7 linked regions of the Macaca fascicularis genome follow. The protein of the gene in region 4 purifies or fractionates together with the protein of the main gene of each other region. This does not show direct contact. Links are inferred from orthologs where the notes say so. Each region holds a gene or a part of one and is shown on either strand. Other genes may lie near its edges.

Region 1 (3,529 bases), on a different chromosome or scaffold from region 4:
CACCCACTCCACTCGGAGCACCTGAGTATGGGGATGCATCGGGTCAAACGCATGCCAGGCACTGCCAGGGGCGCAACAGGCCCCACGAAGGGTGAGTCCACTCCAGAGCTAAGGGCAAGGGTCAGGCTGGGCTGGGAGTGGAAGGGGCTGGGGACTGAGCCCTTACCCTGGGGGGCCACGCAGTGTGAAGCTCTCATCCTCCTGCAGCTCCGATGCTCCGCCCTTGACCTTCAGGCTCCAAAGGTGCAGGCTGTTGTCATCCAGCAGGGTGACCAGCTGGCACTGGCGAGGGCACAGGGATGGGAGCATGTGGTCTTGCTACCCAGCAAGGCCTTTACACACTGGGGCCGCCCAGCCTGGGCTGGTTGTTTCAAAGACCCCCTGGCCACTCCCAGCGTGGCCCACGAGCCCCACCTGTGGAAAGGGAGGGGGTCCCAGGCCTTTCCAGCAGCAGCAAACCCAGGGCCACTGAATGCCAGCCTCTCCACACCAGCCCTGCTGGAAGCAGTGAGGGCAAGGAGGGTGTGGAGGTGGCTTCCTGTCCCACCCCAGGTCCCTCACCTGGCCGGGCAGGAGGTGGATCTGCGTCACTGCGTTGTTCTCCCGGTGCAGCCCCATGAACTCCACGCCCGGGGCTCCATAGCTACGAGCAGGCTCAGGAAAGCTCTGGAAGGCCAGACACCATCCCCTGACACCATCCCCTGCCCACCTTGAGTGCCAGGCCCTTGGGGCCCACATGCAATGAGTGCAAACACAGAGAGGGGCTGCCCTCCCCGCAGGCAGCAGGACTCATGCATGGAGCCTGGGATGGGGAGGAGATACAACAGCCCTGGCCCTGGGGCACCAGGCCAGTGACCCGACCCCTGGGAGATTTTTCCCAGTCAGGCCGGTGGGAGCAACTCCATAGAAAGGTGAAGCCCTACCCTGGCAACCGTCAGGCTGCCACCCTGATTCTGAGCTACAACAGACGTGTTGGCTGTCGCTTGGTAGCACCTGTGAAAAAACACACGGCCTATCCCCAACAGCCTCGGCACCAGGGATTGGTAACCAAAGTCTGGCTGTGGCCTGGCAATGATTAACCAGTGAGGGAAGGCTGAGCCGGCAGCAAGGCCCTGGCCCTCTGTGTACACCAGCCCAGCCTGGAACTCGAGCGCTCCATACCCCTCCCCCACACCGGGCAGAGGGGAAGAGGGACGTCAGGCTCCGCTGGAGGTGGCAGTCAAGCTGGCAGAGGTGGTCCCTCATCTCTCAGCTCCCTTGGGTCCTGCCCTGGGAGCACAGATCAGACTGGCGGGGTGCCCAACCTGATCCGGTTTTTCATCTCTGAAAACACCGGGAGCCCCCAGTCGGCCAGAACCAGTGCTCTGGATAAAAGATGACCCAACTGGACAACGTCCAGCCTCAGGCCGGGGAAGGACCGTCCCTGCCAGGCAGAGCCCTCTCCACTCTCTGCCGCCTGTGGGGGTGGGGGTGGAATTTGGAAGATGGCTGCCTGAGCCTAGCTCTCCTGGCCCAAGGCCACCCCACCTCTGCTTGTGGATAGGGACCTGGGGCCAGTCCACCTCTGATTCTTATCATGATAGGTTAAAAATCAAAACTGCAGGCTGGGAGTGCGGTGACTCATGCCTGTAACCCTAGCGTTTTGAGAGGCCAAGGTGAGAGAGTTGTTTGAGCCCAGGAGTTCAAGACCAGGCTGGGCAAGATCACAAGACCCTGTCTCCACAAAAAAAAAAAAAAAAAAAAAAAAAAAAATTGTTTTTGAGAGAGAGTCTTGCTCTTTGTTGCCCGGGCTGGAGCGCAGTGGCGCAGTCTCGGCTCACTGCAACCTCTGCCTCCCAGGTTCAAATGATTTTCCCATCTCAGCCTCCCAAGTAGCTGGGATTACAGGCATGTGCCACCACACCCTGCTAACTTTTTAAATATTTTTAGTAGAGACAGGGTTTTACCATGTTGACCAGACTGGTCTTGAACTCAAGTGATCCGCCCGCCTCAGCCTCCCAAAGTGCTGAAAAAAATTTTTTTAAATTAAAAACATTCCTAGTAACTTGCTTTTCTGGTGGTGAGGTGGGGAACTGAGGGAGGCAGGGGCACAGAAGGGCCCAGGCCTTGCTACTGACACACCAGCCAGCCACTCACTGACTGAGCACTGGCTGAGACACGGGCATCAGGTCCTTCCCCCTGGATCCACCAACACAACCCCTGCAAAACAGGTTTCTGAGCCCCCCAGCATCCTCAGCCCCTGCCCAGGACTGGGGGATTCCTGAAACCTCCAGGAGTAAGTGAGAGGGGGAAACTGAGTAAAGGGAGCAGACCACATGAATGGTCTTGAAAGGACACAAGGGACAAAATAAGCCTGTATCTCCTCAGTCTGTTTCAAACCTCACTGTCCTCCTGCAAAGGACAGGGTCACATCCCACCATGCCCAGGTGCCCACTCCACCATCAACCATACCCACCTCATTTTGGAATAAAATCATGTCCAAAGCTGGAAATCAGGAAAGTCTCTCATTTTATCCCAACAGCCCATGGGCAAGGAAGGAAAAAAAGATGTCCTTCCCCAAATCTCACCCACCCCAAGGCCCTGCCCGGCTGGGAGTGAGGGGACGGAGGATACAGCTTGATGGCTCCAGAACGGGTGCCGATGGCCAGGATGCGCAGGGACGGGCTGTAGCCGAGGGCGCTTGGCTGGTGCGGGAAGCCATGCTCCACCGTCTGCAACGAGAAGCACGCGGGGTGGGCGTGCAGACCTCTCCCCTTCATGCCACCATGGCTGCCGGAGCTGCAGCACTGGAGGACGCCAGCAGGAAGCAGGGATTCGGAACCTTTCAGGTTCCTCCCAGACACCTGAGTGTTGGAGCCTAACCCAAACTTACCAGGCCCCACCCCCAGTCCCTTTGTGACTCTGCCCTTGGCCTCATTGCCACTCCTTCGAGCTCATCCTCCTGGATGCCACGCCAGCCTCTCGATGCTCTCCAGGAACTGATTTGGTGTCTCCACCACATGCGCCCTGGGTGACGGACCCAGCCCTCCTCAGTGGCATGGGGGCCTTACGGATGTGGGGTGGGGAAAGTAGGGGGAGTTTGGAGCAATGGAGACACTGGTCTCTCGGGAGAAAAGCTTGGTTGCACCGCAGCTCCGGGCTCACCCAGGGGCCCAGAGTACCGCGGAGGCTCTGCCCTGCTCTGGGCTCTTCCAGGTCCCTCCAGGCCCTAGTCAGCTGGGTCTCATAGGCTCTTACTGTCACTGAGTTTCAACCATCTTTCCAGAAAGGGAATTCCTGGAATGTCGTTGCAGATACGTGTTTTTTCATTTATTACAGAAGTAATACACACACACTGTGAAAAACTTGGGAGGTATAAAGACGTTTAAGAACAAAAATTACCCAGACTCCCACAACCAGAAGTAACCCTTGCTAACACCTCAGTGTAAGTCCTTTGAGTCTTCTGCACTTGTGAATGTTTGCACAATTTTTTTTTTTTTTTTTTTTTTTTTGAGACGGAGTCTCACTCTGTCACCCAGACTGGAGTGCA
Region 2 (4,135 bases), on a different chromosome or scaffold from region 4:
TGTGGGAGTGCTGACTTTCCAGAGACTAGATATGCAGTCGGTGAAACTTACTCAAAGCACACTGAATGAGGAAAGCGGCTGTGACAAAAAGGATGAGGATGTCCCGGAGGAAGTGAGGTCCACAAAAAATTTTACATTAAAGGAACTCTGAGACATTGCATGGCATTGGAAGTGCAAAGGATAAAATACTGCGTGTAATCCAAATGTGATGTTTTGCCAAGGCACAGAAAAGGTGTTCTCTTGGTATATAAGAGTTACACTAGAAGAAGACAAGCACTGTTCAAGTTATTCTTAATAAGTTTTATTTTTACAAAGACATAAAACACTTTAATTCTCAATGTTCGAATGTTTTAAACTGTTTTTATTTTTCATTTCCATATACAGTGTATTTGTAACCATCAGTTAAGCGAGTTTTGAATGGCTCTTTTGTTGTTGTTGTTTGTTCTTTCCAAGACAAGGACTTGCTCTGTCACCCAGGCTGGAGTGCTGTGGTGCGACCTTGGCTCACTGCAGCCTCGGCTTCCCCGGCTCAAGCGATTCTCTCCCCTTATCCTCCTGAGAAGCTGGGACTACAGGTGCACACCATCACGCCTGGCTCATTTTTTTTATTTTGTAGAGACAGGGTCTCACTGAGTTGCCCAGGGCTGGTTTCGAACTCCTGGGCTCACGCCATCCTCCCGTCTGGGCCCCCCAAAGTGCTGGGATTACAGGCGTGAGTCACCGCGCCCGGACTGCTTTGAATGTTTTGAGAAAAACTGTCTAAAGTCGTGGAACTATCTTAATTTTTCCCATTTATTATTAAGGTAGTTTTGCATGGTTCAGTCATTTCCAGGGTCCAGAATGACCGTGTAAGCGAGGACTGCATGTGCGTGTAGTACGTATTCACAATATGCATTATGTCAATGTGAAGTCAACCACTTTGGGGTAGAACACATCAATTGATGGTTACAAACCAACAGGCGGTGCTTTTTTTTTTTTTTTTCTTTTTTTCCATCTGTGCTGTAAGTGTGCTGTTGGTATTCTCTTTGGGTGCTAACGGTTGAAAAGGAGCTCCTGCCAGCCGCTGAAAACACCGCGACACGCGGGCGCAGGGCCTGGGCAGGGCGGCCGGCGCGCAGGTGGCCCGGCCTCGCCCAGCGGCTCTGGAGCGGGAGCCACGCCAGCCCGGCCTCCCGCGAGACCCGCACCCGCCCGCCGGAGCGCGCCGCGGGGCCACGGCCTGCAGGGGTGGAAGGGGCGGCGGCGGCGGGAGCTGCGGGCCACGCACGGCGGCGGCGGGAGCGGCCGGGCACGCACGGCGACGGCGGCGGCGGGAGCGGGAGTCCGAGCCACGCACGGCCGCAGCGGCGGGCGCGGCGGTCGCGGGAGCGGCGGGAGCTGTGGCGGCGGCGGATGGCCCAGAGCTGATCTATGCGGCGCCTGGAGGGGCTGTGTCTGCGGCGGCGGCGGCGGCGGCGGGGCCCTGCCCGCGAGCGGAGCGGGGACAAGATGAAGTACCAGAAATACCTGACGGTGCTGCAGATGGCCATCGGCGTCACTCCCTCCAACCGCGGCAGCCTCCTGCCGCTCAAGAGGAAGCTGTGGTGAGGCGGCCGCGCGGGCGCGGAACCGCAGCCGGGCCAGGCGCGGGCCGGGGCGGGGACCGGAGTGGGAGCGGGGGCCGGGGCGGCCGGGGGGGCGCGAGGCCGAGGCTGCCGGGCCCGACGGGGCGCGGGGCGCGCGGGGCGCAGCAGCCAAGGCCGAGCGCAGGGCCGACTGCCGCCTTGTGCCGCGTGCCCGCTGGCTGGTTTCGCCGAGACCCTCGCTGTGCCGGCGGCGTGTACGGCGGCGGGGAGCTGCCGGGACCCCTGGCACCCGCACCCGGGCGTCGGCCTCCCGCCTCTGTCTGTCCTTTCTGCTCCATTACGGCGGGTTCTGGCTCAGAATTTCCAGCCAGGCTCTCGCGGAGACAGCAGAGAATTCATTAGTATCACGGTGTGCGTTTTCAGTTATTTTTCAAAAATTCATCTGCTGCTGAGTGCAGAGTAGAGGACGAGTAAGGCAAGGGGAATAAGTTGGGACATTATTATTGCATTGTCGGGGACTGTATTCTACCTGCATGCGTTCCAGTTCCTCCGACCTGGAGACTGTTACTGAGGTAATGAAGAAAAAACACCTTTCAAGAAAAATGTCTGGACCTTACTGGTTTACGTTGCTGATTATCTACAGGATTGTATATTGCATTTTATTAATCATATTCCGTAATCCAGACGGAATCCTAGGAGCCTCCTAGGTATTCCACTGGCTTGAGATTTAGGCTTAAGGTTCTTTTGCAAAAGAAGTAATCTAGTAAAGGGAAGATGACTACAGAAAAAAGATGCCAGTTGTCATGACAGTCAGTGGTCATTTTAATTTTAGAATTAGTGGTCAATGTAGCTCATAAAGGTTTTATTCAATTCAACTGAACACAGTCTTATTTAATCCTAAGGTTATAGAGAAAGGAGATGAGGCTGCTTTTAGGTAATGAGGAAAGTAATTCCTGCTGTGTAAGACAGTGTGAAAGAATGATCCTTACCAAAGTCTGTAGTGGTCAGCCAAGAAAAAGATGGGTTAAGAAAAAGAATCCTAAAAGTGGAGAATTTTGAAGGTAAGACGAATATGGACAGCAAAGTTCAGATTTCAGCTGTGCCACGTTCTGTGTGACCTTAAACAAGTTCCTGGAGTGTCTGTTTCTTCCTCTGTGAAATGAGAATCTTGTTATCTCCCTCATGGGGATATATACAGATCAACTCTGATAATGAATACGAAGGTGTCTACTACCACTGTGCCTGGCTTAATCATAGGTGCTTAGTAAATCTTAGTGTCTTTCTGCCTCCACCAATTTGTTTTTTAAAAAAATAAATTTATTCTGCAAAAGATATTTTAATGTGCCGGATGCAGTGGCTCACGCCTGTAATCCCAGCACTCAGGCATATGGCCTGAGGTCTGGAGTTCAACACCAGCCTGATCAAGGTAGTGAAACCCTGTGTCTACTAAATAAACAAATAAAACAAACAAACAAATACAAAATTAGCCGGGCGTGGTGGTGCATGACTGTAATCCCAGCTACTCCGGAGGCTGAGGCGGGAGAATCACTTGAACCCAAGAGGCAGAGGTTGCAGTGAGCCAAGATTATGCCACTGCACTGTAGCCTGGGCAAGAGTGAGACTCCGTTTCAAAAAAAAAAGAAAGATATTTTAGTGTGATGAACAGCAAGTGACAACACTTAGAAGACAAGATTAGCCACAGTTGAATTAAAACATGTCTGTGGGAGATGTTAGCAAATAAATGAAGACTGTCACTAACTACAGTGAAGGAAGAAGGGGTAACACTTGAAGATCGCTTCTCAGATTGATGGTATATGGGGGTATGGGAGATACCAGCACCAGTAGTCATATCTCCCATTTTGCTTTTCTCCTGAGCACTTATCAATAACTAACACACTGTTTATTTTACTTATTTTTCATATATATTCCCCCTCTCCTCACTAAAACGTAAGTTGCATGAGGGAGAGCTTTTGTCTGTTTCATCCATTGCTGTAAAACACCTGCAGCTGATATCTGGTTCAAAGGTATCAGAAAGCTTCTCAATAAATATTTGCTGAATAAATGGATTCTTAATAATTTGTGACTGGGAAATAATATGTTAGGGAAATCTGTTTTTTTTTTTTTTTTTGAGACTGAGTCTTGCACTGTTGCCCAGGCTGTAGTGCAGTGGTGCGATCTCGCCTCACTGCAAGCTCCGCCTCCCGGGTTCACACTGTTCTCCTGCCTCAGCCTCCCAAGTACCTGGAACTGCAGGCACCCGCCACCATGCCCGGCTAATTTTTTGTACTTTTAGTAGAGACCGGGTTTCACCGTGTTAGCCAGGATGGTCTCGATCTCCTGACCTCGTGATCCACCTGCCTGGGCCTCCCAAAGTGCTGGGGTTACAGGCGTGAGCCACCACGCCCAGCCAAGGGAAATCTATTTTCTAAATGTTCAGTTTTAAATTATTTATTTATTTATTTGAAATAGTTTTGCTCTTGTTGCCCAGGCTGGAGTGCAGTGGCAGATCTTGGCTCATTGCAGCCTCTGCCTACAGGGTTCAAGTGATTCTCCTGCCTCAGCCTCCTGAG
Region 3 (2,924 bases), on a different chromosome or scaffold from region 4:
AGTGAAGGGTCTTGAGCTCAGTGAAGGGTCACTGGGTGAACTGAGAGAAAACCACGTTCAGAAACACGTACTGCGGACTTCCTGCAGCCGTGGGACCCGTCATTGTTTGTCCATGTAAGCTACAGCATTACTAGCAGATGCTAAGATCGAGTGATATCACTGGAAAAGTAGGTGAATCTACTAGGAAACTTTCTACTCCCTACTAGGACCTCAAACCCCTCAGCCACACAGCAAATGCCAATATGCTCCCGTGTTAGCTTAGAAGCCTTTGTGTCAACGAGAACTGGCTCCTGAGTCCCAAGCTTGGTGCTGTGCTGTCACAGGACTCGTCTGTTGGGATGTTTTACACATTAAATATCTAGTAAAAAGACTTCCCGGTGCTCAGGAATTACAGTTCGTTCTTGAAACATTCCAAAGAGGCCACCACAGCGTTTCCCACGTGGCTTCTTTTAAAAACTCAAATGGCTTCCTTGAAAATACTCAAAGTCCACCCAAGGACATTAGTAATAACAGAATCAGAAAACTGTCAGGAGCATAAAGATTTATTTCTGTATCAAAATGAAAGAAGCAATCATGAGTTGCTGAATTACCCATTTGCTAATGAAACTGGGATGGACTGATCATCTAACCAAGTGCAGATAGAGGATTCTACTTAGTCCTCTGATCGGGCACAAGAACAGCAGCCTAGGTTCTGGGAAGAGTGGCAGTGACCGGGATGCCACATGGAAGAGAAAATGAAAACACTGGCACAGTGAAATGTCTCATTTCCAAACAGTTTTGCCTATGGCCAAGCAAGGCAATAAAGACAAACTCTCCCTTTTCCCCATTGCATGTGGGCTACCAGGTACAAGTAAGGGAATCTTTGCTCTGCCCACTGTCCTCCAGTGGAGAACCCAACAGGCAAGGGCCCCACTCAGGTGTCAGCTCACCTCCTGCACCTCCCCTTAGCAGGAACTCCTTCCACTGGCAAGCGACTCTGACTCAGCTGTGGCGATGTGGAGGGAGTCACCGAGCTGCTTTTCTTTTGCAAAACAAGTCTTTTTCTTTGCAGTCACACTCTAAGACAAGGCTGCTGGAGAAAACAAAAGCACCTAGACTTCAGTGCCAAATCCCCACAATAGCATGCAGCTCACACCTACCAAGGGTAGTCCAGTGCATAGGGGAAAGGAACCCTGCTGAAAAACCAGCTCCTTATTTTTCTTGTAAATAAAATAATACTATCCTAAGTCCATTTACCATCTGAAGTTGTCACGAGTGAACAGTCACATTACTTTATTGGACCAGGCCTTAGATGAGTTTCTCAGGCTCAGCACTGACATTTTGGGCCGCATCATTCTCTCTTGTGGGGCCATCCTGTGCACTGTAGGATGTTTTATAACATTCCTGGCCTCTACCCACTAGAATCTACCAGATCCTAGAATCTAGTCGATCCTAGAATGCTACCAAGGAGACTTGAATTTTGGTCCTATCATCAAAAATGCTCTCTGCATCAATCCTATGCCAGTTTCCCCTAAGGAGGGGCTAACTGGAATGTTCTAGGATGTACCAATCCTCCAGGACCCTCTTAGAGCTCATGGCATCAGAGACAGGCCTCTACCTCAGGGATCATCCCTGGCTTACATCAAATTCCTCTTCTCTGTTCCCAACACTTCAAACTGTTCTTTGGACTCACTGAGTTCCCTAAGGTGACACACCCCCCCACCCCCACCTTGGGGGTCATGGAGCGCTCCCTGTGGCCCTGGTTCAGCCCACCTGCTCCATACCCTGTGCTCTTCTCTGGTTCTTGAAGCCGTCTGTAACCAGGGCAGGGGAGATAACTGTATGGAACCATTCCCTGGCCTCCACCTGCTCCAGCACTCTCCAGGCCAGCACAGTCTACAGGGCCGGAGACACCAGGCCTGGAAGTGACCACTGGCCAAGAGCTGACATAAAAGCCAACCTCCCCAAACAGGAAGGGCCTGTTCTTCACAAAGATAAAGAAAACTGCCACAATGTTCTGCTGGCCTTAGGAAGCCTGCAAAATTAACCAATACATCACGAATCAACTTCCTTTTATTCTGCTGTACACTGAATGCCATCACGAAGCAATAGACTTTTGGATTAAAAACAAGTATTTCTGTGGAAAGCCTGCTACATGTTTTCATAAAATAAAGTGCTATGATGTACTAAAACCTCACATTGCCTTCTCGTAATTTTATTTTTATCACTAGAAGGAAATATAAAGTGATTCCTGAACCAGAAGAATGAACCCCATCTTCCAACTGTCACAGAATTATCACCAACATATTCAAAAGAGAAAAAAATAAAACCAAAGGTTGATGTATTGAGTGCCCTTGATTTGAAGAGCTCAAAGTAAGTGTTCTATTCAGGATGGGACAGGGCCTTCCTCACAGACACCTGACAACAGATCAAACGTGCATTTCCTGTTTCCGGTTTGGTTTGCTCTGTCTGCCTCTCAGGTGACTTATAATTTTTTTCATCAAGAGACCAGTTTTAGAATAAAAAATAACTTAAGAAGATTCAAGTAAAGGACCCAAAAGCTTTAAGAGAATGAAAAGCTTCCTTGGTATCTCTGGGCCCTTGCTCTAGGCCTTCCATCATAGCTGTTCCTCCTCGTCGTCCTCATCCTCATCATCATCCTCCGCCTCGTCGTCCTCCTCATCATCTTCATCCTCATCTTCATCCAGACTTGCCCTTTTGTCATCAGATGTGCTGCTGTCAGACTCCTCCTCCTCCCGAGCCAGGAGCTTCTTAAAAACCTCAAACTCCTCAAGAGAAGAACAGGCTGTCCTGGCCAAAAACTCGGCTTCTGAAACTCTGAAAATGTCCTTGACCAGTGGGTTAGGGATCTGTGTCTGCCCCTTCTTGTCAGGGGTTTGGTACCGTCCCAGTCGCTCCAGGTAAATGTGTCTCTGCTTAATCTT
Region 4 (3,987 bases):
TTGAAGGAAAGTATACATCCTTCAAAACTCCACCAACAATTCCTAGTCCAGTTTTCTATTGTACAGATTAAAAAGTTAAATTCCTTGTGGCACTAACCAAAACTTAAAAATTAACAGAAGACTGAATTAATTAAAAAAAAAAAAAGCATACTAACTAATCAAAACAATCCACTGTGCAATGAATATTTGAACAATGAAAAAAACCTACCAAGCATCCCAGTCAATTACATAGTTCTTGCTTCCATATTTTAATTTTGGACTTTCAGGAAGGTATATTATTAAACAGGTCGATTTTGTGGACTGTTTAAACCTTGTAGTATTTCAAAATATTACCCTTTCTAAACCAAATCTGTGGTCCTGGTCAACTTTTTTTTTTTCAAGAAAAAGAAAGGATATGTGTTTAAAATACATTCCGTAGCAGTAGAAACATCTTAGTGTCTCAAAATCTATTTACAAAGAACCCTGCTGATCCTGTGCATTTCGCTGAGGTGCTACTTGCACCCAGACTTCATCATCTGAAAAAGAACTTGAACTTCCTGACTCAGAGTCCAGCTCACTGAATCCATCTAAGTCCCATTCAGTACTAGACTCACTCCGTGCATCATCTTCCTCAGTAATAAAACTCTGACCAGGTTCAAGGCAGGAAGGATAAACACGGGCACAAAGGCAAATAAAGCCAGAGTCAAACTGCAAAAGGCCTAACATAGTACCTATATTAATCCACTGATCTTCCCTAGTATCATACTCATACACTGTTACTCGGTTCTTTTTCCATTGTGGGGTTGTAGAAGTGATGAGAAGCAACTTTCGGTCATGATTGACAATCTGGTAGTTGTGGGTCTCTGAATCCAAAGGAATATTACTAATCCGCCTCCATTCTCCCCTAGCTGGGTTGTAGACCTTCATGACTGGGATGTCACAGATACAATAGATTTCATCATTGAAGACACATGCTTCCTGAAAGTCACTGCGTTTAAGAGAAGCACAGTTCAGCCACATATTGTGGCTAGGATCATAGCAGAGCATGCGCTTACTGTTGACAGCATAAAGATAGTTCTGAACCACTATGAGTTCAAAGGAATAGAAGGAATGAGGGACAGGAGCCACCAATGCCCACTGGTTTCTCTGAACACTGTAGCATTCCACTTCCTTCAACTTAACTCCAGTAGTAGGGTCTCGCCCCCCCAAAATGTAGATGTAGCCATTGAGATATGCCACATCCATGCCCTCACGACACAGCAAGCGATCTGCAAGTTGCTGCCAACTATTCTGAGCTGGTTTATACACCCAGAGGTCTTTCCTTGGCTGGGCAGCTAGATAGATGTCATGGTCTGGGGAGACACAGACAGCTGAGGAGGTAACAGTCTTAGTGTGAGCAAAGCTGGTCAAAGGTGATGGCATTGTGTAAATGTCCCCTGAGTAAGGGTCATAGCAGAGAAAGGGATCTCTCGGGTGTCCAAAGAAGATCACCATCTCCTTGGCACACATACCCAGTCTCTGGGGTGGATTTTCTGCTGCAGATACAAGAGAGTTGCTGCTGCTACTGCTGCTGCTGCTGCTGTTTGGCACTGGCACCAGAGACTTGTACAACAGGTCACCATAGCGCATCTGCAGGGCCCCTTCAATAACGTCCAGGCAGTACTTCTTCACGATGGGCTTGGTCAGCAGCCCTTCTAAGTAGTCCTGATCTTCTTCAGTGAAGTGCATCCAGCGCACGCACTTGAAGACTTCCGCAGCACTGGGACCCCGCTCCTTGGGAGCAGCCTCCAGCCACTGCACAGCTACATGGCATACAGTCCGCTCACTCTCTATGTCCAGACTATCCAAGCGCAGGACAGCCAGCAGCTGGGCCAGGGTCAGATCTGCTAGAGTCTCTTCCCGAATTGAACCCATTCGGCTGAGCTGCTTGAAGTTCTGAGCTATATAGGACTGGGCCTGAGATCGAAGCTTGTGATGGTCGAAGGCGTCTGCAAACTTGAGGATGGCGGTGCAGTTGGTCAGGTCAAGACGTCGGGCTAAGAAGGAGGCACAGGCTTCCCGCACATACTCCAGTTGCAGCATGTCGGAGGCTGCGTACAGGCGCTGCACATTGGCCTCGCTGAGAGAGACACGACCCGTGTAGCAGTAGTCGACCAACACCTCGAAGGACTCGGCGTCCACATCGTGCATGGTCACGCTGGCCTGCTGGCTCTCGTACATGCCACCTGTGAACATGCTCTTGAAGTAGGGACACGCAGCTGCTAGCACGTTGCGATTGCAGGAAAAGAGGCGACCCGTGCCAGGCCCGCTGCCAGGCGTCACCACCTCGATGGTCACATCACACAGCAGCCGCGCGTCGTAGAAAGACTTGAGCTGTGCCAGCAGGGCTGCAGAATGGGCCGTGTCCTTTAATTCCTCTGGACCCGTGAAAAAGGCCGAAACCGAGGGCTTGGAAATCCTCTTGGGCCGCCTCCCACCGCGGGGGCTGGCGAGGCGGCGAGAGCGCGGGGCGTCTTCCCGGGACTGCATGGTGGAGATGGCGACGGGCGCTGATAGCGAGAAAGGCTGCCGGACCCGGCTCTGGCTCCTCCTCAACCTTCCCTCGCTGACGCTAAGACAAGCCGCGTCCTGGAACAGACTGCGGCACGGGCCGCACTTCTGAATTCAGCCTTAGCCCGCGGTGAGGTCTCCCTTTATTGCGTAGACAGTGGCTGACTCACCCTCTCTCACTCCCGCGCCCTTTCTCCGCCTCCGCTCGCCCTCACAGGACCCGCTGGCTTGGAGCCGCGGAAGGCCCCACTGCCGCGCTGGCGATCCCGCTAGGCGCCCAGGAGAACTACCGCTTCCAGGTTGCCTTTCGCGCCCCGAGGCCTGCTGGGGCTCTCGGACGGCCGGGCGGGGACAGAGGGAAAGAAACCGCTTTGCATGTTGGGAGTAGTAGTTTGTGTAATATCGCGAGCTTTCCTTTCGCTGACTGCCCTAACAGTAGAAATTAATTCTGGATATGATGGTGAAGTGACGATGTCTCACTATTGTTGTCCAGGCTGGTCTTGAACTCCTGAGGGCTCAAATTATCCTCCTGCCTCTGCCTCTCAAAGTGCTGGGATTACAGGCGTGAGCCACCGGGCCCTGCCAGTATTTCATAGGGTTTTGTGTGATTGAATGATACGTTACATAGGATACTTAGATACATGTATTTTTTTGGTTAGAAGAACAATAAAGCGTTACCCCGTGCCTAGAATGTAGCCAATAATTGTTAGATTCTCTTTTATAATTTATGATAAATGAGGCACCCACTAATTTGAAACCAAAAAATTTTTAAAATTTTTAAAATTATTTTAAACCGCAAAATTTTACAAAGAACTTAGTTTTTAATTTTTATTCTTTTGAAAGATTTTGAAGGGCATTAACTATTTTCAATGTTAAATGGTACGTATTGGCCTTGTTTAATAAGGATGTCTTAGACGACTAGGTTGAGGTCCTAAAGAACGGTGTTAATAGATGGCCTCAAATATGCAAATCGGGCATATAAAAATAGATTATTTGCTACTCTCACTAACATTTCATCTCTGGGGAGCAGGAATATTTTCATTAAGCTCCAAATATGAGTGTTTTCAAGTCGTCTAATACAGTCTCTTTCACTGCCATTCCACATATCAATTAACAGATTCTGTAATTGCCTTTATTAAGGAGTTTTAGGGAGTATTTAACTCAAAATATTTCAAGAAACAGACTTTGTTCTGTACAAAAGCACGTGATTCTCAGAATTCAGCATTAGTACATGCCCTGACATTCCTTGAATTAACATACAGTATAGCCTATGCTTTACAAAAGTCTTTTATATTTGCATTGATCAACAGTTAAATCATCAAAATCAAGTATTAGAGATTTGAGGCAGGAAAATAGGGTCTGGAGGCAGGGAACATAAGGCCGATTCACACTTTAGCTATAACAAGAAATACCCTCTCCATAGGGTGTATGCCGAGTAAATGAGTTTGTAACTTTAAT
Region 5 (3,999 bases), on a different chromosome or scaffold from region 4:
ACAGCCAGATCCTCGTCCCTCCCCTGCTCAGGATCCTCCTGGGGTTCCCAGCTAAGGGAGGCTTGTGCCTCAGGGCCTTTGTACCTACTGCCCCTCTGCCTGGCATGCACTTCCTCCAGCACTTCCTGTCGCTCAGGAGTCATCTCCTCAGAGAAGCCTCCCTAAGCCACCCTGGCTGCAGCAGCCGCCCTGGCCACACCTCCCTCCCCCTCGCCCTGCTTTATTTGATCCACAGCACTGGCTAACATCCCAACTACCGTCTATTCTATTTTTTTGTTTTGGCTTTTCACTGTCTCCTGCATTAGCATATCAGCCACCTGAGTTAAGACATATTTGTCCTTTTTGATAACTACTGTTGTCCCCAGAACCTTGTAGACCTCACACACAGTGGGGCTCAGTATTAACAGAGAAGGCACACTCCACAGGCGACATGTGGGCTGGACTGGGATTTGAACCCAAGACTCGGAGTCCAAAGTCCCTGCTCACTCCTGACCTGTCTCCCACCCCCCAAACTCAGGAATCAGGGGCCTATTCCCTAGCGATCCCCTATGACCCACTTAGGTGACTAAGTCCCTTCCCCAAGACCACCCTACTTTCCACCACTGCTGCCCACACTTCATCCTCAGTGGAGGGCCCTTACTTCCCACCACCCCAAGGCTAGACAGAGTGGGCTGAGCTTCATTCCCACCTGTCTCCAGTCCCCACTGCACATCCCAATTTACTGGCTGAAGAAATGACATTTAGGCCAGGCATGGTAGCTCATGCCTGTAATCCTAGCACTTTGGGAAGCCAACATGGATGGATAGATAGCTTGAGCCCAGGAGTTCGAGACCAGCCTCGGCAACATGGTAAAACCGCACCTCTACAAAAAATACAAAAACTAGCCAGGCATGGTGACATGAGCCTGTAGTCCCAGCTACTCAGGAGGCTGAGGTGGGAGGATCACCTGAGCCAGGGAGGTTGAGGCTGCAGTGGGCTGTGACTGTGCCACTGCACTTCAGCCTGGGTGAGAGTGAGACCCCGTTTCAAAAAAAAGTGACATTTAGCCCTGAGCCTGTTGCTGCCTTTCCCTGAAGGGCCATTCTCCTCTCACCTAACTCTCATAGCCTCCCCAGCACAGAAAACAGGCACTATCTGGGGACCACGGAGCACCAGCTTCCCCTCTGGGCCCCCTCTCAGGTTCCTGGCAGGTTCTCAGCCACCCTGTGAAGGTCCTGGCAGCTCTCACCGGCAACCACTGCAGACCTAGGCAGGGAAACCCTGAGACATCCCAGTGCCTCTGCTACTCCAGGTCCAACCGTCCCAGAGCCTCCTCCAAGACAAGGGTCTCCTCAAGGCAGCCCAGGGCACCTGGCACAACACTGGCCCAGGACCACAGCAGCCCCTTGGAAAAATCCCCGCCCCTCAAGGCTAAAATCCAACCCCACTGACACAGGAACTCGAGAAAGATATTGGTGCAGCTCACTCTGACTCTGGGCAAGCCGTCACCTCTCTCAGAACCTCAATTTTCTCACCTGTATTTTGAAGATAACTCTAATTTCGAAGAGCACTGAGAGGCTCTGCGATCCGTGGGCTCTGGGGTAAGAATGAGGACAAAACCAACGCCCCCAGAGGAGTGAGCCAGGAGCAGGCTGAGGCCCTGCTCTAACATCAGTGCATAGGGAGGCGGGGGCTGAGGCGGCCCCTTTCCCTGGCCCCTAGTGTCCCACTTGGGGAAAGGAAGGAAAAGCCTCCACTTCACTCCACCTTGGTGCGGGGCAGCAGGACAGCTGGCCCATGTGGCAGAGGGAGCCAGGGCCCACAGTAAGGAGAAAAGTAGCCTCATTTCACAGCTAGGGAAACTGAGGCCCCACGATGTGAAGGGCACTGTAGTACACAGCCAGGCATGTCCCCTGGACTCGGGGCCCCGGGCAGGGCAGGGGAGAGCAGGGCAAGGCAGAGCCTGGAGCAGTGGGGGAAGGAAGGAGAGGCTCCTTGAAGGGATTTCCCAGCCGCACCCCCCACAGCTGCCTCGTCCCCACTAACTCTCTCGCCCTCCTGCGTGCCAAAGCACAAAACAAACCGGGGCCCACGGCTGTCCCAAGGGCCGAGCAGGGACGCAAAGGAGCCCCAAAGAAAAAGGATAAAGAGACAGAGAGTGAGCGACAGAGAAGAGGTCGAGAGACTCCACAGAGAGAGAGAGAGAGACACGCAGGGAGAGACAGGCAAAGACTCAGAGACGCAGAGGCAGAAAGAGAAATGAGAGGCAAAGATAGGAAGGGGCAGAGGCAGAGACACCCCCACCACACACACAGTCACAACTGGGGCGAGGGAGCCGGTCAGCGACGGAGAAAGTGGGGCAGAGACCCAAAGACAGGCAAAGAGTCTCAGAGACAGAGAGACCCAGACACACAGAGACTGGCAGACCCAGGGCCAGAGCGGCCCGCAGAGACTCGGGAGCAGACACGGAAAGTCGGCCGGAGACCCAGACCCACCCAGAGTCCGAGCCAGAGCTGGGCCCGAGGAGGGGGTGCGCGGCCCGGCCCAGCCCCCGCCCCGCGCCGCGCTGCATGCCAGCCCCCGCCCCCCGGGCCCGACGTGGCTCCGACCCCGGGTCCCCAGCCCGGGCCCCCGGCCCGCCCCCTCCCACCCGAGCCCGCGCCCGCGCCGCAGCCGCACCTTGTTGAAGGCGAAAAGCTCTTGCTTGAGCTTCTCGCGCTGCGGGTCGGCGCCCTGCCGCCGGAACCGAAACTTCATCATCTTGCGCCCGGCTGCCGGCGCCGCGCCCGCCGCCGCCGCCGCCGCCGCCGCCGCCCGCAGGATGCGCCGCGCGGCCCCGCCGGTCCTGAGGCGCGGGCGGGGCACCAGGCGGCCCGGGCGCGGGCGCGCGGGGCCGGGCCTGCACGGGGGTGGGCGCGGGGCGCGACGGACGCACCGTCCGACCAATGAGCATGCCCGCCGTACCGCCCGCCCCGCCCCTGTTGGCCAGACAATGGTGAACTGGGCCCCCGGGCTCGGCCGGGCTCGCGAAGGGACGCCCGCCTAGCCTGCGCCGCGGCGCGGGGCCTGCCGGGACGTGTAGTCCATGAGCCGGGGCTCCAACGCGGGCGGCTGGGGAAGCGCTTTGGAGGGGGACTGGCGCATGTTCCTGGGCTTGGAGAAGATTTTTTCCTCCTCCCAGAGAGCGAGCGACGTGCCCACTCAAGTAATGGGGCAGCCCTATTCCGAAAGCCAAGAGATCTCTGACTGGAACAACTCCCTGGCCCCTCTGCGCCTCAGTTTCCCCATCTACACCATTGGTCAAGTGATTGCCAAGTTTATAGTTTACCATTCTCACAGAACTCCATTTTGTCTGTTCCTCGCTGTGTCAGAGCACCTCCCACCGCCGTGCTTTTGCCTTGGCTTTATAGTCAGGAATTCTTTCCTCACCCCCAGCCCCTGGGGAACTCCTACACATCTTTCAGGACCCAACGCAAAAGGCTCTGTCACAGTACAGGGGATTCTTTCTTAGCCAAAGAAAGAGACGGGATACCCAGGAGGTGGCATTTGGGACTGTTCTGGGGTTGGATTGGGGCTTTACTGAGATGGGGGAAGGGCCTGCCCCCACAGAGAACAGTGTATGAACAAAGCTTAGCCCTGCCCCTACTGTCTGAGGGGCCGTCTGCCTGTCCCCACCCACCTCCCAGGCCTTTTCTCATCTGGACAATGGCCTCGAGGCTGAACCTTTCCTTCCAGGCTGAGGATAGGTCGCCTGGCTCGGCACTGGGGTTGCGGGAGGTCCTAGAAGCTTAGGTGGGGCAGGTAGGACAGGCCCCAACCCCACCAGCTGTGTCAAGGGAGGAGGAGCTGACCTGTGACCCCGAGGCAGCTGCCAAGCCTTGGGGCCTGGCTGTCCCCCTCCACCCACGCCAGGCCGGCCGTGTTCAGCCCTTCCCCGGATTTGGGGCTGGATCCAGAAGAGGGGCCAGGAGTGAGTGGGGAGGTGAGAGGAGGGAGGATGACGACAGTAAAGCCCCTAAG
Region 6 (4,249 bases), on a different chromosome or scaffold from region 4:
GTATCTCTGATAGCTTCTCAGTCTCAGCTACCTGGGAGTAAAGAAACAGGGTCTGGAGCAGCGAGCAGAGGCAGAGATAGGAGGAAAGGTGGCAGGAAGGGGCCCAAGCCCAGACATCTCCATCTCTAGAGACCCCTGGTCTCCCAGCGCATACCTCCCAAATGCCTCCCACCTGCCATGCACTCTAGGTACAGCCTCTCACTTAATCCTGAGAGGTTGGCGTTATCACGCATTTTACAGATTGGGAGACAAGAGGCATAAGGAGGTTTAATAACTGGCCTATTGTTGCAAAGCCACTGAGTGGTAGGGCTGGGATTCAAACCCAGGTCCACCTGGCCCGCAAACCCATGCTGTGCCTTGCTGCTTCTCAAAGTCACCCTGCCAGTTCCCCCACCTCGTTACCTGTGGCTGGGAAAAGGATGGCCTGGGAGACATCCTCCTCCTCCGTGGGCTCAGAGCCCCTGCGTGTGAAGCCCCCCAGGGCATGTCTTCGGAGCAGCCGCCTGACTCCAGGGTCCCCACCTTCCCTGGTCACCACGGGGGACCCCAAGGCATCCAGGAACAGGGCCCTCACCTTGGCCAGAACAAGCTCCCGGGCCAGCTCCGGCCCTTGGCAGCTGTGACCACCCTGTGGGGCCAGCAGCAAGAAGAGCAGTAGGGGCAGCACCATAGCTCACCTGGCCCTGCTAGCGGGGAACCCACACCCTCCCCCGTGCCCTTTCTGCCAGGGTCTGCCCAGGGCAGCTCCACTCTCCCCATCCCACACCCACCCTCTTCTACCCTTCTCACCCAGTCTTCTCCAGTCCTTTCCACGCCCCACAGTCCGAGTTGCCCCTGCCCGTGGCATTGAAACCTCCTATCTCTGACGCAGATGTCTGTGGCCATGAGCCTTATCTCCCACTCCCGCCAGGGATGTTGGGGAGGGACTGGGGAGGATTTCGCCCCAAGCGACCTGACTCATACAAGCAAACATTACAACCCCTTCTCCTACACACACACACACACACGCACACACGCACTCTCTCACACACACACACACATCCAGAGGTTTACATCAGGTGGGACAGGAGCCTGGGAGCTGCAGCCGGCCAGCCCCGGAAAGTGTCATTTGTCAGGGAGACACAGTGCACCACCCCTCAGACCTTCTGGGGCCCCTTTCAATAAGCAGCTGCTGGGCCGGCCAGCCCTTGGGGGAAGGGCTGGAGCCGGGGCTAGAACCGGGGCTAGGGCCGGGGGCAGGTGGTCCTGCCTGCTCTATACTTAGCCCAGTGGAGCCAGTCTGGGCTCTTGTCCTCCAGCTGTGTCATCAGAGAATATTTTTGGGATTGGCAGCTGCAGGCGCCTCTGCCACTCAGGCCCAAGCCTGGCGGGAGGCTAGGGACCTGGCGGCTGGAGGTGGGAGGGAGGAGGGGGAAGAGGCCCAAGCTGTGGGAGGGGGCTGGGAAGAGAGGCTCCCAAGAGCAGGAAGCCAGGCAGCGGGCAGGAGAGGCTGCGGGGCCCCTCGCTGGAGAGGCAAACAGGAAGGACTGCCCCCTGAGCGCCAGGCTTCGGCCCGGGAATCGCCGCCGCCGCCGCAGAGCTGCAGCTTGGGGCCGAGGGTAAGGAGGCGAGCCGGGAGCAGGAGGCCCGGGAGAGCTTCGCGGGTACCCGCGCCTGGTCCGCAGCCGCGCCCCGGCCCCGCCGCCCCTGGCCTCTGCTCGCCCTCGGCCCACCCTCCCCGTTGGCCGCTGCAGGCGGTCTGAGACAGCTGCGATGAAGGCGAGCTCAGGGGACCAGGGGAGCCCCCCGTGCTTCCTGCGCTTCCCGCGGCCGGTGCGGGTGGTAAGTGGCGCCGAGGCGGAACTCAAGTGCGTGGTCCTGGGGGAGCCGCCACCGGTAGTGGTGTGGGAGAAGGGCGGGCAGCAGCTGGCGGCCTCGGAACGCCTGAGTTTCCTGGCGGACGGCGCGGAGCACGGCCTGCTGCTGAGCACCGCACTGCCTACCGACGCCGGGGTCTACGTGTGCCGCGCCCGCAACGCGGCGGGCGAGGCCTACGCGGCGGCCGCTGTCACCGTGCTGGAGCCACCGGCCTCCGAGCCCGAGCCGCAGCCCGCCGAGCGCCCGCTGCCACCGCCGGGGTCCGGGGAGGGCGCCCCGGTCTTCCTCACGGGGCCCCGATCCCAGTGGGTGCTAAGGGGGGTGGAGGTGGTGCTGACGTGCCGGGCGGGGGGCCTCCCTGAGCCCACGCTGTACTGGGAGAAGGACGGGATGGCCCTGGACGAAGTGTGGGACAGCAGCCACTTCGCGCTCGAGCCCGGCCGCGCCGAGGAGGGCCCCGGCGCGAGCCTGGCGCTGCGCATCCTGGCAGCTCGGCTGCCGGACTCCGGCGTCTACGTGTGCCACGCCCGCAACGCGCACGGCCACGCGCAGGCGGGGGCGCTGCTCCAGGTGCACCAGCCCCCTGAGAGCCCGCCCTCGGACCCCGACGAGGCCCCCGCGCCCGTGGTGGAGCCGCTCAAGTGCGCTCCTAAGACTTTCTGGGTAAATGAGGGCAAGCACGCCAAGTTCCGCTGCTACGTGATGGGCAAGCCCGAGCCCGAGATCGAATGGCACTGGGAGGGCCGCCCGCTGCTCCCGGACCGCCGCCGCCTCATGTACCGCGACCGCGACGGCGGCTTCGTGCTCAAGGTGCTCTACTGCCAGGCCAAGGACCGTGGGCTCTACGTCTGCGCCGCGCGCAACTCGGCAGGCCAGACGCTCAGCGCGGTGCAGCTGCACGTGAAAGGTACGGCGGCGCCCGGGGCCTGGGGAGGGGCCTCTCGTGTCCTCCGAGGCCCTCCGAACACCAGCCCTCCTCGGTGCGCAGCACTGCCCCGAAGACTGGAAGAGAGGAGGTCCGCGGCAATATTAAAATATCAAACCCGCCCGCCTCCCGCTCTCCAGGGATTCGGATTTACTAGGTCTCCCGGGTACTCAGGAACTTCTTAGCAAACTCCCCAAAAGATTCCGAGGCAGATGGTGGAACACCACTAAGGAGTGATTGATGTACAAACCTGGAGGGCGGTAGAACTCTTCTCCCCTAGTGGTTTTCAACGTCTTTGTTATTTTACTTCTCCTTCCCCAACTGAATTCACAACCAGAGTCCCAATATATGAGACAGATAAAGGAGTATTTTGTGGGCCTAAATTGCTAAGTCTGCTTGTATAACAGGTACTTCTAAAGCATCAGTGAGAATAAGGAGGCTATTTTATTGAATACAGGCATTTGAAGTGAAGACTGCATTCATGAGTCCAGGCTCTGAACCCTGTGGGAACAGCCTGGGTGCGTCTGTCACCTTGAGAAACAAGTGATTCAGTAGAAAGCTAGACAAGGGAGGACAAATGTCCTGTGTGTTTTTACTGTTCTTTGATTAAACTACTCCCCACGTTTGCAAGAAGAGGAAGGTGAAGGAGAGAAGGTTTATATTTCAATGTTGAATCACCAACAATATCCAATAAACGCTTACATTCTCATAAACAGAAAATTCAAAGGGAAAAAAAAAAAGCACACCCCAAACTCACCATTAGGTAACGCTCCCCATAATAGGATTTCATCACAATGCAAAGGATTATACCTTCACTAGTTATTGTCCAGATTTTTCTCTTGGAGGAAAAAAAAGTTGGTAAATTCTCCTGAGTCCTGCCTGGCACGCAGTCAAGGATGTGGCCCCTGGGCTGCGGTGGTGGCCTCGCTGGTACAGTTCAATGCACACAGATTTGTCAGGCTGGTGCTGATCTGGACCTCCATCAGGAAAGAAAAGCCCCGAGGGAAGGCTGGAGGAGCTTCCCAGAGTTGGATACACACACACTGAAACTTGCTTCTCCAGCAGCCCGAGTTAATTCTCTAGTTTCTAACATCCTGTTTTCTTTTCTTTCTTTCTTTCTTTTTTTTTTTGAAATACACTTTTGAAAGGGGTTAAAATAGCCAGGCGAGGTGGCTCACTCCTGTAATCTCACCACTTTGGGAGGCTGAGGCAGGAGGATCACCTGAGGTCAGGAGTTCGAGAACAACCTGGCCAACATGGCGAAACCCTTTTTCTACTAAAAATACAAAATAATTAGCTGGGCGTGGTGGCACGTGCCTGTAATCCCAGCTACTTGAGAGGCTGAGGCACCAGAATTGCTTGAACCAGGGAGGTAGAGGTTGCAGTGAGCCAAGATTGCACCACTACACTCCAGCCAGGGCAAGAGAGCGAGACTCCATCTCAAAAAAAAAAAAAAAGAAAAGAAAA
Region 7 (4,303 bases), on a different chromosome or scaffold from region 4:
GCGGCAAGCACTGTGCCCACGCCCACGGCCGCGCCCCCCAGCGTCAGCTGCATGGGCCCTCGCAGCGCCGCCAGGCCCACCGCGTACGAGGCACTGCCCCACACCACGCACAGGCCGCCCAGCAGGAAGAAGCCTGCGGGAGAGGCAGGGTAGCGACAGGGCCAAGGTCGGGGGACGAAAAGGTATCGGGGGTGTGGGGGATGGTCTGGGAGCAAAGCCAGGGTTGAGGAGACAGGAACAGAGGCAGGGCCGTGCCAGGGGCTGGACTGCATCTTTGAGAATCAGATCAGAGGGGAGGGGACCATAGCCATGTCCTGGGCCACCCATTCAGATGGGCCCATGGGAGGGGTGTCTTCCTGGTGGGGGAAGAATGGGGGTTCTGTGCTTACTACTGGGAGTGGGATGGGGTGGGAAAGTCTACCCTCACCAGGACAGGTGGTAGGGGCTCTGGATTCCCTGGTTCCCTGGTGGAGGTGAGAGTGGGGATCTGTACTCACCATATGCTGCTTCGCGACCCATGTCACTCTGCATGAAGGAGATGACTCCGATGCCCGATGCCAGGAGGCCATTTCGGAACCAGGAGAGAAAGGCTGGAGGGAGGGAGACATGGGGGGATTAACATCACCCCCAACCCTACCTCCTCAATCTCCCTTGCCCTGTAAAACTGAAGGGGCTCCCCCTTCAGCTCACTCCACCCCATGCAGCCACAAGGCAAGCCCACCCCAAATCCTTACCTCTTCCAGGAAGTCCCTCACCTAACCACATCCCCCCACATGCTCTCTGGCCTCCACCTCAGTGCCCCTCTCCCACAAACTCTGTAACACTAAGGATTCAAGGGCTGGGTGCGGTGGCTCACGCCTGTAGTTCCAGCACTTTGGGAGGCCAAGGCAGGTAGATCACGAGGTCAGGAGTTTGAGACTAGCCTGGCCAACATAGTCAAACCCCGTCTCTACTAAAAATACTAAAATTAGCAGGGTGTGGTGGCACGTGCCTGTAGTCCCAGCTATTCGGGAAGCTGAGGGAGGAGAATCGCTTGAATCCAGGAGGTGGAGCTTGCAGTGAGCCAAGATCTTGCCACAGCACTCCAGCCTGGGTGACAGAGCGAGACTCCGTCTCAAAAAAATAAAGGATTCAAGATAGTCCCTGCAGAATGTGGAGGACAATCCAGGGGCAAAATTGCAGAACCTCCAATCTGAAGAGCCATCCTGACCAACCCCCTCCCTCTATGTATATCCCCACGGCCTGCCTACTTACTTCTTTCTCAGAACTCTGGGGCAAACTGTTTCCTAACCCAGGCCGCACTTCAGCCTCGCTCTTCCTTTCCTTCAAATGCCGCCATCTCCTACCGAGTATGGCCTGCGCCAATCTCATCCACGTCCGTCCCCATTCAAGTCCCTTACAAACAGCCCACCACACCCTATATCTAGATACCCAGTACTGGCCCAGTGAGGTGGCTCACGCCTGTAATCCCAGCACTTTGGGAAGCCAAGGCAAGATTGTATGAGCCCAAGAGTTCAGACCAGCCTGGGCAACAAAGCGAGACCCCGTCTCTGCATAAATTAAAATAGTTGGGCACGGTGGTGTATGCCTGTAGCGCCAGCTAAGCAGGAGGCTGAGGCAAGAGGATGACTTGAGTCCAGGAGTTGAAGGCTTCAGTGGGCTAAAATTGTGCCACTGCACTCAAGCCTGGGTGACAGAGCAAAACATTGTCATTAAAAAAATAAAATTGGCCGGGCGCGGTGGCTCAAGCCTGTAATCCCAGCACTTTGGGAGGCCGAGACGGGCGGATCACGAGGTTAGGAGATCGAGACCATCCTGGCTAACACGGTGAAACCCCGTCTCTACTAAAAAATACAAAAAACTAGCCGGGCGAAGTGGCGGGCGCCTGTAGTCACAGCTACTTGAGAGGCTGAGGCAGGAGAATGGCGTAAACCCGGGAGGCGGAGCTTGCAGTGAGCTGAGATCCGGCCACTGCACTCCAGCCCCGGTGACAGAGCAAGACTCCGTCTCAAAAAAATAAATAAATTAAATTAGATTAAATTAAATTAAAAAAAAAAATAGATGGCCACTCCGCTACATTCTGGACCTCGCCTCCGTCACAAGCCCCGCCCCCTGCAGCCTAGATCACCTCCCCCTCCAATCAGCAGAGAGCTTTTTCCCTATTGGTTGTCCCCTCCTCCAATCCTGAACTTCCCCCTCGTCTGCGGGGATCCACACTCCCGCTCTCTGCACAGTGGTGGCCTCTGTAATCGGGACGGACCCCTCTAGTATCCAACTCCACAGACTCTAAGCTTTCCCTGGAAGCCCCTCTTCACACGACAGGCGCGATTCTACGAGGCTGCCTCGCGCAACCCTACCACCCCCTCCAATCCCTACGGCGCCCCGTTACGCGGGGTCCTCGTCCTCCCCGAAAGCCCATCCTCTCTGCAAGCACCTGCGCTCTTGCACTCTGCGCTTCCGTGCGCTCACACTGAAGCCCTTCTCGGAGCCGAGCCGGGGCCCCGTTTCCTGCAGAAGCCTCCGCCCCATCGAGGTTCCACGCGCGCCCGGGACCCCCGTCCCATCCACACCGCCCCCACCTCCAGCCACCGACCTGTCTCGTGCGCCTTTCGGAGGAGCCAGGCGTCCGCACGGTCCAGCTCGGACACTGGGGGCGGCGAAGCCCCGGCGCGGGGACCGTGGCCGGGGGCGAAGGACCCCCGGGCGCCCCCGCTCCGGGGCCGCTGAGGCGGCAGTAGCGACCTCCGGAAGCGGAGACGGGCGAGGCGAGCGGCCCGAGCCCACCACCAGCCGCCTCCCATGGTTCGCACTACGGGCGCCGCGCGCCGTACCGCCCCACGGGCCTCCTGTAGGTTGCAACCCATGTCACTCAGGCTGAATGGCTTACCCATTGGCTATGCGCTCGCCACTCAGTTTCGGCGTGAACTGTCCATTGGTCGGAATGGTAGTGATTCCCTCCTCTGTCATCTAGGCCGGTAGTGCGCGTCCCTCCTTGATTTTGTCACTGGACTACGAATCCCAGCGATCATTGCGTTTGGGGAAAGACGATCTACAGAAGTCGTAAGCGAGATGTCTGCTGGAACTTGTAGTTTTTATTCTATTTTTTTTTTTAACGGAGTACACGCTGAACACCTATTGTAGTTCTTTTCTTTTCCTTTCTCTCTATTTCTTTCCTTCCTTCCTTCTTTCTTTCTCTTTCCTTCCTTCCTTCTCTTTCTTCTTTTTCTCCTTCCTTCCCTCCTTCCTTCCTTCCTTCTCTTTCTTCTTTCTTTTTCTCCTTCCTTCCCTCCTTCCTTCCTTCCTTCCCTCCCTCTTCTTTTCTCTTTTCTTTTCTTCTTTTTTTTTCTTCGGAGACTGAGTCTTGCTCTGTCGCCCAGGCTGCAGTGCAGTGGCGTGATCTCGGCTCACTGCAACCTCCGCCTCTCGGGTTCAAGCAATTCTCCGGCCTCAGCCTCCCGCATAGCTGGGATTAGAGGCACCTGCCATCACGCCCGGCTAATTTTTGTATTTTTAGTAAAGACGGGGTTTCACCATGTTGGTCAGGCTGGTCTCAAACTCCTGACCTCATGATCTGACCGCTTCAGCCTCCCAAAGCACTGGGGTTACAGGCGTGAGCCACCACACCCGGCCTGTAGTTTGTATTAATTACGTCAATTCCAATGGCCAGAAAACAAAACAAAACGTGGGGCACTTAATGGAGAATCTTTGCAAAATCTTGAAGATCTCAGAAAGGAGAGTAAACCTCAACAGTAATTCCACCAATGAGTGATTACTACTACCATCTTGTATTCCTGTCCAGTGTTTTTTCTATGCAGATATAAAATAAGATGCCACCTGACCATTAATTTTTCTTCACATAACAATATATTGTGATCATTAACCCAAAGCATTGATTTTTTATGGCTTTTTTTTTTTTTTAATTCTAAGTATCAGGCCAGGCCAGGCACAGTGGCTCACGCCTGTAATCTCAACACATTTTGGGAGGCTGAGGCAGGCAGATCATTTGAGGTCAGGAGTTTGAGACCAGCCTGGTGAAACCCTGTCTCTACTACAAATACAAAAATTATGGCCTGGCATAGTGGCTCACGCCTAAAGTGAGGCCAAGGTGGGTGGGTCACCTGAGGTCAGGAATTCGAGACCAGCCTGGCCAACATGGTGAAACCCCATCTCTACTAAAGATACAAAAAATTAGCCGGGCATGGTGGCGTGTACCTGTAATCCCAGCTACTCGGGAGGCTGAGGCAGGAGAATCACTTGAACCCGGTTGCAGTGAGCCAAGATCACGCCATTGCACCCCAGCCTC

The links.
Region 1: the proteins of KBTBD7 (region 4) and LLGL2 purify together in Homo sapiens (co-immunoprecipitation; 4 studies listed by BioGRID and IntAct, counting the BioPlex papers as one, with this or other methods). This does not show direct contact. The link is inferred for Macaca fascicularis from reciprocal best matches to the Homo sapiens genes KBTBD7 and LLGL2.
Region 2: the proteins of KBTBD7 (region 4) and TJP1 purify together in Homo sapiens (co-immunoprecipitation; 3 studies listed by BioGRID and IntAct, counting the BioPlex papers as one, with this or other methods). This does not show direct contact. The link is inferred for Macaca fascicularis from reciprocal best matches to the Homo sapiens genes KBTBD7 and TJP1.
Region 3: the proteins of KBTBD7 (region 4) and MTERF4 purify together in Homo sapiens (co-immunoprecipitation; 3 studies listed by BioGRID and IntAct, counting the BioPlex papers as one, with this or other methods). This does not show direct contact. The link is inferred for Macaca fascicularis from reciprocal best matches to the Homo sapiens genes KBTBD7 and MTERF4.
Region 5: the proteins of KBTBD7 (region 4) and LLGL1 purify together in Homo sapiens (co-immunoprecipitation; 4 studies listed by BioGRID and IntAct, counting the BioPlex papers as one, with this or other methods). This does not show direct contact. The link is inferred for Macaca fascicularis from reciprocal best matches to the Homo sapiens genes KBTBD7 and LLGL1.
Region 6: the proteins of KBTBD7 (region 4) and OBSL1 purify together in Homo sapiens (affinity purification with mass spectrometry; 3 studies listed by BioGRID and IntAct, with this or other methods). This does not show direct contact. The link is inferred for Macaca fascicularis from reciprocal best matches to the Homo sapiens genes KBTBD7 and OBSL1.
Region 7: the proteins of KBTBD7 (region 4) and TMEM160 purify together in Homo sapiens (co-immunoprecipitation; 3 studies listed by BioGRID and IntAct, counting the BioPlex papers as one, with this or other methods). This does not show direct contact. The link is inferred for Macaca fascicularis from reciprocal best matches to the Homo sapiens genes KBTBD7 and TMEM160.

Annotation. Positions count from the first base shown.
Region 1 is NC_088390.1:81,955,667-81,959,195, reverse strand, and holds part of LLGL2 (LLGL scribble cell polarity complex component 2), read right to left. Parts: intron 2,712-3,529; coding exon 2,614-2,711; intron 644-2,613; coding exon 562-643; intron 283-561; coding exon 167-282; intron 1-166. UniProt on the Homo sapiens protein: Part of a complex with GPSM2/LGN, PRKCI/aPKC and PARD6B/Par-6, which may ensure the correct organization and orientation of bipolar spindles for normal cell division.
Region 2 is NC_088381.1:7,488,287-7,492,421, forward strand, and holds the start of TJP1 (tight junction protein 1), read left to right. Parts: upstream 1-1,319; 5' UTR 1,320-1,410; coding exon 1,411-1,583; intron 1,584-4,135. UniProt on the Homo sapiens protein: TJP1, TJP2, and TJP3 are closely related scaffolding proteins that link tight junction (TJ) transmembrane proteins such as claudins, junctional adhesion molecules, and occludin to the actin cytoskeleton.
Region 3 is NC_088386.1:137,015,930-137,018,853, forward strand, and holds the end of MTERF4 (transcription termination factor 4, mitochondrial), read right to left. Parts: coding exon 2,598-2,924; 3' UTR 1,073-2,597; coding exon of another isoform or gene 1,052-1,072; 3' UTR 525-1,051; downstream 1-524. UniProt on the Homo sapiens protein: Regulator of mitochondrial ribosome biogenesis and translation. Binds to mitochondrial ribosomal RNAs 16S, 12S and 7S and targets NSUN4 RNA methyltransferase to the mitochondrial large ribosomal subunit (39S).
Region 4 is NC_088391.1:20,547,982-20,551,968, forward strand, and holds the start of KBTBD7 (kelch repeat and BTB domain-containing protein 7), read right to left. Parts: upstream 2,821-3,987; 5' UTR 2,509-2,820; coding exon 451-2,508; 3' UTR 1-450. UniProt on the Homo sapiens protein: As part of the CUL3(KBTBD6/7) E3 ubiquitin ligase complex functions as a substrate adapter for the RAC1 guanine exchange factor (GEF) TIAM1, mediating its 'Lys-48' ubiquitination and proteasomal degradation.
Region 5 is NC_088390.1:18,351,821-18,355,819, reverse strand, and holds the start of LLGL1 (lethal(2) giant larvae protein homolog 1), read right to left. Parts: upstream 2,818-3,999; 5' UTR 2,740-2,817; coding exon 2,659-2,739; intron 1-2,658. UniProt on the Homo sapiens protein: Cortical cytoskeleton protein found in a complex involved in maintaining cell polarity and epithelial integrity. Involved in the regulation of mitotic spindle orientation, proliferation, differentiation and tissue organization of neuroepithelial cells.
Region 6 is NC_088386.1:115,501,291-115,505,539, reverse strand, and holds the start of OBSL1 (obscurin-like protein 1), read left to right. Parts: upstream 1-1,447; 5' UTR 1,448-1,752; coding exon 1,753-2,764; intron 2,765-4,249. Other genes in the region: INHA (inhibin alpha chain), read right to left, coding at 403-628, 790-885. UniProt on the Homo sapiens protein: Core component of the 3M complex, a complex required to regulate microtubule dynamics and genome integrity. It is unclear how the 3M complex regulates microtubules, it could act by controlling the level of a microtubule stabilizer.
Region 7 is NC_088393.1:55,046,213-55,050,515, forward strand, and holds the start of TMEM160 (transmembrane protein 160), read right to left. Parts: upstream 2,812-4,303; 5' UTR 2,802-2,811; coding exon 2,594-2,801; intron 591-2,593; coding exon 498-590; intron 357-497; coding exon of another isoform or gene 328-356; exon of another isoform or gene 134-327; coding exon 1-133.